Linked DNA regions of Sus scrofa. The protein of the gene in region 1 interacts with the protein of each later gene in a pairwise test. Links are inferred from orthologs where the notes say so. Each region holds a gene or a part of one and is shown on either strand. Other genes may lie near its edges.

Evidence for each region.
Region 2: the proteins of CDC42 (region 1) and ARHGDIA interact in binary tests that used the Homo sapiens proteins (3 or more experiments, as listed by UniProt). The link is inferred for Sus scrofa from reciprocal best matches to the Homo sapiens genes CDC42 and ARHGDIA.

The regions. Positions count from the first base shown.
Region 1 is NC_010448.4:80,065,682-80,070,475, reverse strand, and holds part of CDC42 (cell division control protein 42 homolog), read right to left. Parts: intron 1,536-4,794; 5' UTR 1,486-1,535; coding exon 1,381-1,485; intron 1-1,380. UniProt on the Homo sapiens protein: Plasma membrane-associated small GTPase which cycles between an active GTP-bound and an inactive GDP-bound state. In active state binds to a variety of effector proteins to regulate cellular responses. Involved in epithelial cell polarization processes.
Region 2 is NC_010454.4:1,111,390-1,116,788, forward strand, and holds the start of ARHGDIA (rho GDP-dissociation inhibitor 1), read left to right. Parts: upstream 1-2,005; 5' UTR 2,006-2,052; intron 2,053-2,284; exon of another isoform or gene 2,285-2,308; intron 2,309-2,382; exon of another isoform or gene 2,383-2,622; intron 2,623-3,471; exon of another isoform or gene 3,472-3,602; coding exon of another isoform or gene 3,603-3,647; coding exon 3,648-3,837; intron 3,838-3,942; coding exon 3,943-4,026; intron 4,027-4,253; coding exon 4,254-4,330; intron 4,331-4,409; coding exon 4,410-4,473; intron 4,474-4,568; coding exon 4,569-4,768; 3' UTR 4,769-5,399. UniProt on the Homo sapiens protein: Controls Rho proteins homeostasis. Regulates the GDP/GTP exchange reaction of the Rho proteins by inhibiting the dissociation of GDP from them, and the subsequent binding of GTP to them.

The sequences.
Region 1 (4,794 bases):
AACTCAAAAATGTGATTTCTTTCTTTTTTTTTTTTTTTTAATTTTAGGGCTGCACCCGTGGCATATTGGGGTTCCCAAGCTAGGGGTCCAATCAGAGCTGAAGCTGCCAGCCTACACCACAGCCACAGCCAGTCAGAGCAACCCAGATCTGAGCCAAATCTGCAATCTACACCATAGCTCACGGCAACACCAGATCCTCAACCCTCTGAGCAAGGCCAGGGATCAAACCTGCGTTCTCATATATGCTAGTCAGATTCGTTTCTGCTTAGCCACGACAAGAACTCCCAAAAATGTGATTTCATATTTAATTTTACCTTCAAATTTTCCCCCTTCAATAAACCTGATTTTTCTTCCAATAATCTGGGCCTACCTCAATCACTTTATCAGCCCTGGAAGATTATAGACTGTCAATTACAATTAAACATAATTACCAAGTCTTTAACCTGTCACCTTCTTCAAAATGCTCTCATCTCTGAACACTGACCTAAAGTACTCATACATTTTCTTTCTTTTTACTTCCAAACAATACTAGTCCCATATTAATCATACATAGGTGCTTCAAAACCCCTAAAATAGATCACTTAACAGAGGTAGCTGTTACCACACCAGGCCAACTCATAGCTCCCCTCTCATTACAGAATGGACATCTATGTTTAACATAATTATACCACTGGATTGGTCAACCAACCTGGGACAAACAATGGATCCCTAAACACATTCTTTCACAAATGAATGTTACTCTAAATAACTCTGTCTCTCTCTCACTTCAATATCTTTGTTATTCCATTTTCCCTCTACTCTTCCAAGGAGCAGGTAAGATTAAAGAGCATTCGTAGGAGAGAACCCCCAAAGGCTTCTGTTGATGGTCTCATAAAAACAGAATGTATTCTCTGCCTCTGAAAACCAGTCTGGAGCTCCATTACTGCGAGGAAAACAGCTCCATCAGCTTTTCTTCTATTCCCCCGGGAGAATAAGTAGAGACACACTACTTTTCCTGAAGTTACAAGACCCCCGAAATCATCCCAGAAAACCTCTAAGCACTGATAAATCATTGGCCAAGATATCAAAAAAAAAGTCACCTCATTCCAAGATGTTGGGCATACTTCTCCAAACTGAGACCACCACTCTTTAGAATCTTGTCTACTGGAGTTTTGCCTCCCAGCACTTCTTGCAAACCCTTGTGTCACCCCTTCTGACTTTCCACTGATTTTTCAGCTGTTTAATTTTAAAGTGTATATAATTTACCCATGAGAAGTCAAGATCTTTAAAAACAGGAAACAAAGGCAGACAACAGAAAAATTTCAGTACACAAAGAGAAAGTTCTCAAAAGGATATCAAATTATAATACATTTCACTAACAGAAGGAAGCTTTATACTTACAGTCGGTACATACTCAGATGGAAATTTGTTTGTCGTGTAGGATATCAGGAGACATGTTTTACCAACGGCACCATCGCCCACAACAACACACTTAATCGTCTGCATTGCTGAAACAGTTTTGTATCCACTTTAAATATTTCAAATTTGATGATGACCTACAAAAAGATTCAAGATATTCATCTTAATTATTTGTACTTACAAATATTTTACTTTCTTCAACTAGCAACAGGTTCACTTAGAGCAAGAACAGAACTAGCACAATGGAGCTCTCGTCATGGTGCAGCAGAAACGAATCGGAACCAGGAACCATTACATTGCAGGTTCAATCCCTGGCCTCGCTCAGTGGGTCAAGGATCCGGCGTTGCCGTGAGCTATGGTGTAGGTTGCAGACGCGCAGCTCACATCTGACATTGCTGTGGCTCTGGTGTAGGCCAGAGGCAACAGCTCCGATTAGAGCCCTAGCCTGGGAACCTCCATGTGCCGCGGGTGCAGACCTAAAAAGTCAAAAGACAACAACGAAAAAAACAAAAACCTAACACACCAACTACTTTGAAGCTAAAAGAACCTAAGAGAAATTAGTGACTTGCAAATAAGAGTCAATTTTCTACGTTTCTGATCCTTGAGAAGTGTTTTTTTGTTTGTTTGAAGTCAAACGTATTGTAAAAAAGAGTTTCCACTGTGGCTCAGCATTAATGAACCTGACTAGTATCCATAAGAACTATCCCTGGCCTCCCTCAGTGGGTTAAAGTTCCAGCATTGTCATGAGCTGTGATGCATGTCAAAGGCAAGGTTCGGATCCTGTGTTGCTGTGGTGTAGGCTGGCAGCTGCAGCTCCAATTCGACTCCTATCCAGGGAACTTCCATATGCTGTCAGTGCGGCCCTAAAAAGGCCAAAAAAAGGGTAGTGTCAAGAGAAGCATATTTCTTTTTAGGGCCATATCCACAGCATATGTAAGTTCCCAGGCTAGGGGTCAAATCAGAGCTACAGCTGCCAGCCTCTACCACAGCCACACCAATGCTAGATTCAAGCCATGTGTGCAACTTACATCACAGCTCACACCAACACCAGGTCCTTGACCCACTGAGTGAGGCCAGGGTTCGAACCTGCGTCCTCATGGATATTAGTTAGGTTTGTTTTCTCTGCATCACAATGGGAACTCTAAGCATATTTCCTTTTATAACGGAAGAGAAGAGGCTGTTTTAGAATGAATCTCGCGCAGAGTATCAAGTGTTATTTTGTGCAACTTTTCCTTCAACATGCCCACACACCTGTATATATGCATACCAAAATGCAATATAAAAGCCACTACTTCAAAGAATGGTCCTTTTAGCCAATCTTAGAGCTATGGTTACTCAGGGTATATAACCAACAAGCAGCAGAACACTACACCCGCCCCCCCACACACACACCCCATAATAGATGAGCACCACAAGGAACTGGACAAAGATTAGTGTGATCCCTGGTCTCAGCAGATGTTTCAGTACCAAACTGCCTAGTTACTAGTTCAATATACATGGCACGAAGAGGCCAAAACCTACATTTTTATAATGAAAAAGTGAGATCACTCTAAAGCACTCTTACAAATAGGTAACAATTACTTTAATTCCTTTTACTACAGTCCTCCATTCTAAGAAGCTATCAATTAAAAATGCACCAATATTTATTACATTTCATCAATTCTGAGATGCTGTTTTTACATTTAAACATTTCTAAAATCGAAACTTATCGTGGAGTTCCCTGGCAGCCTAGCATTTAAGGATCTAGTGTTGCCACTGCTATAGTATAAGTTCAATACCTGGCCCAAGAACTTCTGCATGCCAAAAAAAAAAAAAAAGTATCTCTACTGGAAGGGCCTTATATTTGCTACCAGCTGTTTTTCCCCTCATATTTTGATGGTCTATGAAAATTGGCCTATATGACTTCTTAGAATCAATGAAAATTTTTAACAGTTTTTCTGGAAGAATAGAGAAGAAACACCACCCCCGGTATATCTATTTTATGATAAAGTCCTATTTCAATTATAATCCTGAAGGGGTTACAATTCCTTGCTAATCAGAGCTGCCATTTATTAAATACAAAAATGTCAAGGAACCGTCGAAGCCTGGGATGGATGCCAGGCCTATAATGCTCTGATAGTAACCTTCACAACTCTTTTGTCTGTTCTTTGTTTTTTTAGGGCCGCACCTGTGGCATATGGAGGTTCTTAGGCTAGGGGTCGAAAGAGAGCTGCAGCTGCCAGCCTATACCACAGCCACAGCAATGCCTGATCCGAGTCACATCTGCGACCTCCACCACAGCTCATGGCAACACCAGATCCTTTAACTCACTGAGCAAGGCCAGGGATCAAACCTGAATCCTCATGGGTACTAGTCAGATTCTCAACCCACTGGGCCACAATGGGAACTCCCAACCTTCACAATTCTTAATCACTTATAAATGCCTATTACCATCTCTGTATGTACACATCAAGAGTGAGTAAACCACAGAAATACATACTCTCCTGTTTTCATCAAAACCATCCTGACTACATTTCTCTTTATTTAACCTTCTTTTATTTTTTCCTTCTTTTCTCTGTAATGCACTGGAGATGCACTCATACTAGGTTAAGGATCTTGATCCCTAACCTAAATCAAATTACTTGTCAAATCACACTAGGAATTCCCTGGTGGCTCAGAGGGTTAAGGACCCAGCACTGTCAGTGCTGTAGCTCAAGCTGCAGCTGTGGCATGGGTTCGATCCCTGGCCAGAGAACTTCCACATGCCAGGGGGAATGGCCAAAAAAATAGTAATAAATCACACTAAATAGCGTACTAAATTAATTCTAAAGAATTGTTCCAGAAGAATTTCCTTCACTTAATAGTAAAAGCATAAAGAGGAAATAGGAATGGCTGTCTTCCCAAGGCTCCTTAGTTCACCTCTGAAAAAGAGTGTAACACATTCTGCTAAAAAAAACATGGTCTTCTGTAGAATTTCCTTCCAATTCAGAGTGGAGAAAAGCAAGCAGAGAGTGTTCTGATCATTATTCCAGGGCAATTGTTTTTACAGAATGTTTAATCATAAATACTGGACAAAAAGTAAGGTTTGATCACTGCAGTAGGGACTGCTAGTAATCTGCCAATTCTTCTTCTCGTCTTTTGTAACAGAATTTTACAGATGCATATCACCCCTAGCAAAGACTACACTTCCTAAATTCTTCTGCAGCTATATGTGACCACTGTGACTTAAGTTCTGGCAAATGGAAACAGAGGTGATGGCTGCAACTTTCAGGACTAGCCTTAAACAGCAAGAGGAATAGTGTCTCCTGTCCCGGCCTTTAGGCTGAAATGCAGGCACGATGATAGGAGCCAAAATGGGAGCCAAAGCAGTCACACAAACTGCAAGACAGAGATTATATGCTAATGGAGTTCCTGTCA
Region 2 (5,399 bases), on another chromosome or scaffold:
TCGCGTGGGGGCTGCCCCCTTGTTCTGGTGCCCCTGTGGGCGCCCATCACATTGTACCAGACACGGTCTGTGTCGCCAGCAGGAGAGGCAGCAGTGGCGGCACGTCTGACACGACGCTGTGAGGGACACTAAGGCTGTGTCTTGAGCTTACTCTTGTTCTGAGGCCTCACTCGGGAGGGAGGCCGAAGGAAGCAGGGAACTGAATCCTCCTCCCCAAAGGGAGGACCCGAGCCTCCTGCCCACAGCGCAGGCATGAGCTTGAATTCCTGCAGATGTCCAAAGACCAAGTCCCTGGTTCCCAGCTTGACCACAGCCTCATACAAAACCCAAAGCCACAACTACCCTGCAGAGGGGCTCCCTGATCCTTGGACACTATGCAAAATAATAAAATTGGTCGTTTCAAGTGGCTAAATTTCATGGCCTGCTTTTACACAGCAACAGACGATGTATGTAAGAGCCTGGTATTTTTTTAAAAAGCACTTGGGGGAGTTCCCGGTGTGGGACCCAGCGAAAACAAATCCGACTAGGAACCATGAGGTTTTGGGTTCGATCCCTGGTCTCACTCAGGGGGATCCGGAGTTGCCCTGACCTGTGGTGTAGGTTGCAGACTAGGCTTGGATCCCGTGTTGCTGTGGCTGTGGTGTAGGCCAGCAGCTGTAGCTCTGATGTGACCCGCAGCCTGGGAACCTCCATATGCCACGGCTGCGGCCCTAAAAAAAGCGAGAGAAAAAAAAAAAAAAAAGAATAAATAGGAGTTCCCCTCGTGGCACAGTGGTTAACGAATCCGACTAGGAACCATGAGGTTGCGAGTTCGGTCCCTGCCCTCGCTCAGCGGGTTAAGGATCCGGCGTTGCCGTGAGCTGTGGTGTAGGTTGCAGACACGGCTGGGATCCTGCGTTGCTGTGGCTCTGGCATAGGCCGGTGGCTACAGCTCCAATTCAACCCCTAGCCTGGGAACCTCCATATGCCGCGGGAGCGGCCCAAAGAAATAGCAAAAAGACAAAAAAAAGACAAAAAAAAAAAAAAAAAAGAATAAATAAAGTAAAAGGCACTTGGGTTACTGGAAAGCAGTTTGGCAGCGAGGCAGGACGCCCGGCTCTGGCGTTGCAGCTTCCAGTAACAGGACGCCTGCGAAGCACATCCCAGGAACCAACCAGCTTGGAATGCTCTGCCTTTGGCCAGCTCAACTTTCTACACAGAAAGCTGACAGTATTCCCCAAACTGGCGCAAGTTGAGACATTTCCAAAAATACTAAGATCAGTATTTCGCAGTTCTATCGCTTCTACCGCCTAACAAGCCGATGCGCCATCCAGGTGAGCGTACGTGACCGCGCCGTGGAGCGGAGGGCTTGGACCCCACGCGGAGAGACGAGCGCTGGGGGCCCTCGGCAGCGCGGGCTCCATCCCGCCGGCCACAAATCACGCGCGCCCCCAGCCCCGGCGCTCCGGGTGGAGACCCCGGGGGACGGTGGCGGCTGAGCCAGGGGCTTCCGGAGTCACGAGCGGCACAGAGCCGCTCCCGATGCTGAGTTTCTCTTCGTGAAGGAGCGCTCCCGGCAGGGCGGCCAAACGCTGACGGGTCTGGAAAGGAAGGAAAGGCAGGGACGGCGCGCTGGTTTCGGGGACGGGGGCTGCCCGACTAGCGCGTCCCCGCGGTGTGACGGCTGCGTGCCCGAGAGACACGCCTGCGCCTCGCGTGCCACGCCCACCGTCCGCGAGCCACTGCCTCGCCCCTTTAGCTTGCGGGTTGACCCGCGGGGACGCCCCGGACCAGGAAACGCAGGTGCCAAAGGGCGCAGAACCCCAACCCTACCGGCCTCCACAGGGCTCCCCGCTCGCTGCCCACGCGGGACGCGCCCACAAGCCGGGATCTCAAGATGGCCGCGGCGCGCTCCCAGCAGCCCCCGCGCACGCATGCGCTCTCCGGAGCCCGCCCGGCGCGAGCGGAAGTCGCGTGATCCCGGAAGTGGCCGGCCGGGCGCGCGCGGGTGGGGCGGCGACGTTCGTCATTCCGTGCGGGAGGGAGCGCGAGAGCGGCGCGGTCGAGGCTCCGGTGAGCGCGGGCGGCGGGGCCGGCTGGTGCGGTGGGCTAGCGGGCGGGGCAGCCGCGGAGGGGGAGGCGGGGGGCCGCGCCTTTGTTCCCGCCGCCCGCCCCGCCCGCCCCGCCCTCCTGCCTGCCCACCCGAAGGGTCTGCGCTGGGCGGGGGCGGCGGTGACAGCGGGCGGCGGCCGGGGCGCCGGGGCAGCCCACGTGCGAATCGGGGACGCCGGAGGAGGGAGGCGGCGGCGAGGGAGCTGGAAGGCGAGAGGTGGGGGCGTAGGGGCCGGGGGCGGGAGCTGGGGATGCACAGAGGTGCAGGCCTCTTTTGTGGTCGCAGCTCGTGCTCAGCGGCTCCCTCCTCGCCGGTGCACGCCAGCCTGCTCCGGCCGGACGCCCACTCGCCTGAGCCGTGTGGCCCCCGCGCCCCACCCCGCGCGCCTGCCGCGCCCTGTCCAGATTGCGGGCCCTGCAGGAAGTGCGCGCCGCGCGATCGCACTTAGAGGATCCTGTCGCCTGCGGCCGCGCTTGAGTGGCGTTAGGGCGTGAGCTTTCTAGAGGAATTCCAGAGGAAGCGACTAGGAGGTCTGGAAATACGGGCCGGGCCCCACCCTGCCTTCGGCGGCCGGGTGGTTCCGGGTCCCCCGCGGCCCTTTGTGAGATCTTGTCCGCGCGCACATCCCGGCTTTGGCTGTCTTTACGGACAACGGCGGCCCTGACCCACCTCCCACACCACCGAGTCGGGTCCGAGCGGGTTTCAGATACTGCTCGGGGATTCCGGGGGGGGTATGCGATGGTCATTCTTAGTGAAAGAAGACCAGTGGCTGCCCTATGCACTGCTCCTCTCTTTGATGGCACTGCTGCGAGCTCTTCTGGGCGAGGATCCCGAAGGGGGCTCCTGAAATTCCCACACGTCTAGAGCAGTTTCCAAATTCTAGGTCTCTGAACCCTCACAGCTGGAGATAAGGTTGGCAGACATTTAGGGTCCCTCGTCCATTTCAGGATTTATCTGTGCGACTCAGGCTAGCCCTGTCATCTGAGCCTTAGGAGAGCCTTGTGTTTGTAGGGTGAGAAAGAACTAACTTGTAGCCTGCACAGACATTTAGGACAGGCCTGAAGGAACAGACCGATCAGCAATAGTCAGTAGGAGGGATCTCTTGAGGTGAGCCCCTGGGCGATTCAGGACAAGCAGCAGGACTTGGTCCTGACCCTGCTAGGTAGGTCTGGGGTGCTGCTGCTTCCTGGAAGCAGGGGAGCTGTCCCTGGTCTTTGCAAGGGGCAGGCTGGGGCCTCTCTAGCCCTGGATACTGTGGACCTGGAATTGGGTCCCCTGAGGTGGGCAGGATGAGGAGGTGAAGGTGGCCCTTCTGGGCCTCGGGAGACTGTTTCCGGGCCCTTTTCGACGTTCTGGCTGTCATGGCCTTCCTGTTACAGAGGATGCGCCTGCTCTTGGGCCCACATGGAGGCTTGGCCACCTGTGGAGGAAGATCCAACACTGATCACCAGTGGGACCTGCAGAAGGGCTAGAAGGGGCGACGCTGGGTTCCTCCAGGCTGCCACAGCCCATGCCACCCTGCCCACAGGTGTCCCAGACCCCGCTAGAAGAGAGCATGGCTGAGCAGGAGCCCACCGCCGAGCAGCTGGCACAGATTGCAGCTGAGAACGAGGAGGACGAGCACTCGGTCAACTACAAGCCCCCGGCCCAGAAGAGCATCCAGGAGATCCAGGAGCTGGACAAGGACGACGAGAGTTTGCGCAAGTACAAGGAGGCCCTGTTGGGCCGCGTGGCCGTGTCTGCTGGTGAGTGGACAGGAGCGCGGGTACCCGTGGCTTTCCTGGGTGTCTGCCGCTATTTACCCCCCCCCCCCCCCCCCCGCAGAATTCTAACTTGCGATCACTTTGCAGACCCCAACGTCCCCAATGTCGTGGTGACCCGCCTGACCCTGGTGTGTAGCACTGCCCCAGGGCCTCTAGAGCTGGACCTGACAGGTGAGTGGCCTCTCCGAGGTTCCTGGCTGGGGCCGCAGCGGTCGGCTGCTTCCGCTAAAAATAGTTTCTCGGGCTGCTGGCGCCCTCTGCTGGGGAGCACAAGAAGTGCAGCCGAGTCCTCTTACAGGGGTTGTGGCTTTTCCAGTCTTGCGTCTGGGGTGCCCAGGATGGTGGGAGGTGACTTCCTTTGGGTGAACTTCCTAGCATGGTCTTTCTCTCAAATTCAGGAGATCTGGAGAGTTTCAAGAAGCAATCCTTTGTGCTGAAGGAGGGTGTGGAATACCGGATAAAGATCTCTTTCCGGGTAAGGCGCCGGCGTCGGGGAGGTGCGGGGCCTGGGTGGGAAAGCCTCGCTGAGCCCTGCTCGGGGTGCCTCCCTGCAGGTGAACCGAGAGATCGTGTCGGGCATGAAGTACATCCAGCACACGTACAGGAAGGGGGTCAAGAGTGAGTGAGCGGGGCCCCCAGCCCCCAGGAGGGAGGGAGACCCGGGGGGTGGGGAGCAGAGCTGCCTCCTGACGGCTGTGTTCCCTGCATCGCAGTCGACAAGACCGATTACATGGTGGGGAGCTACGGGCCCCGGGCGGAGGAGTATGAGTTCCTGACGCCCATGGAGGAGGCGCCCAAGGGCATGCTGGCTCGAGGCAGCTACAGCATCAAGTCGCGCTTCACAGACGACGACAGGACCGACCACCTGTCCTGGGAGTGGAACCTCACCATCAAGAAGGAGTGGAAGGACTGAGCTGCGGCCGGAGGGAGGCGGGCAGGGCGGCCGAGGTCGAGGACGTGCCCCCCCACCCCCCCCATCCCCCGGACCCCAGACCAAAGTGCCGCCAGGGCCACCCACACTGCCGCCTCTCCCCGTCTGCCTCCTGGCCGCCCGCCCCTCCACCCTTCCAGCCCGCAGACCCAGCCGCCTCGGTGGTCTAGTGTCGTTGCTGCTTCCGCCTGTGCTGGGGGGGGTGGGCTCCTCCCAGGCCTTGTCTCCCCTTCGGTGTCCTCGAAGTCCCCACCTTCCTGACCCGACCCGAGGCCCTGGCTTCCCCCAGGAGAGTCGGGCATCGCGTGGGAGCTCTGGGTGCCCGGGTCCCTGGGCCTCCAGTCGCCCTGGCTCCCACCGTGGCCCCCTTCCCGGCGGGGGCGGGCTGTACCGCGTAGGGCCTGGCGGGGCCGGTTGTCCTCCCGCTTTCACTTCTCCCCGGTCAGTCCATCCACCGCTGTCAGTGACCGTCTAACCATGATGCCTTAACATGTGAACGCGTGCTGGGGGGGCGGCCCTAACCTCTAACCCCGTGTCTGCATGAGCATGTGGTCTCCCCCGGTCCCTGCCCTGTCCGCGCTCCCTGTGGCCCGGGGAGGTGTGTGGGGTGTGC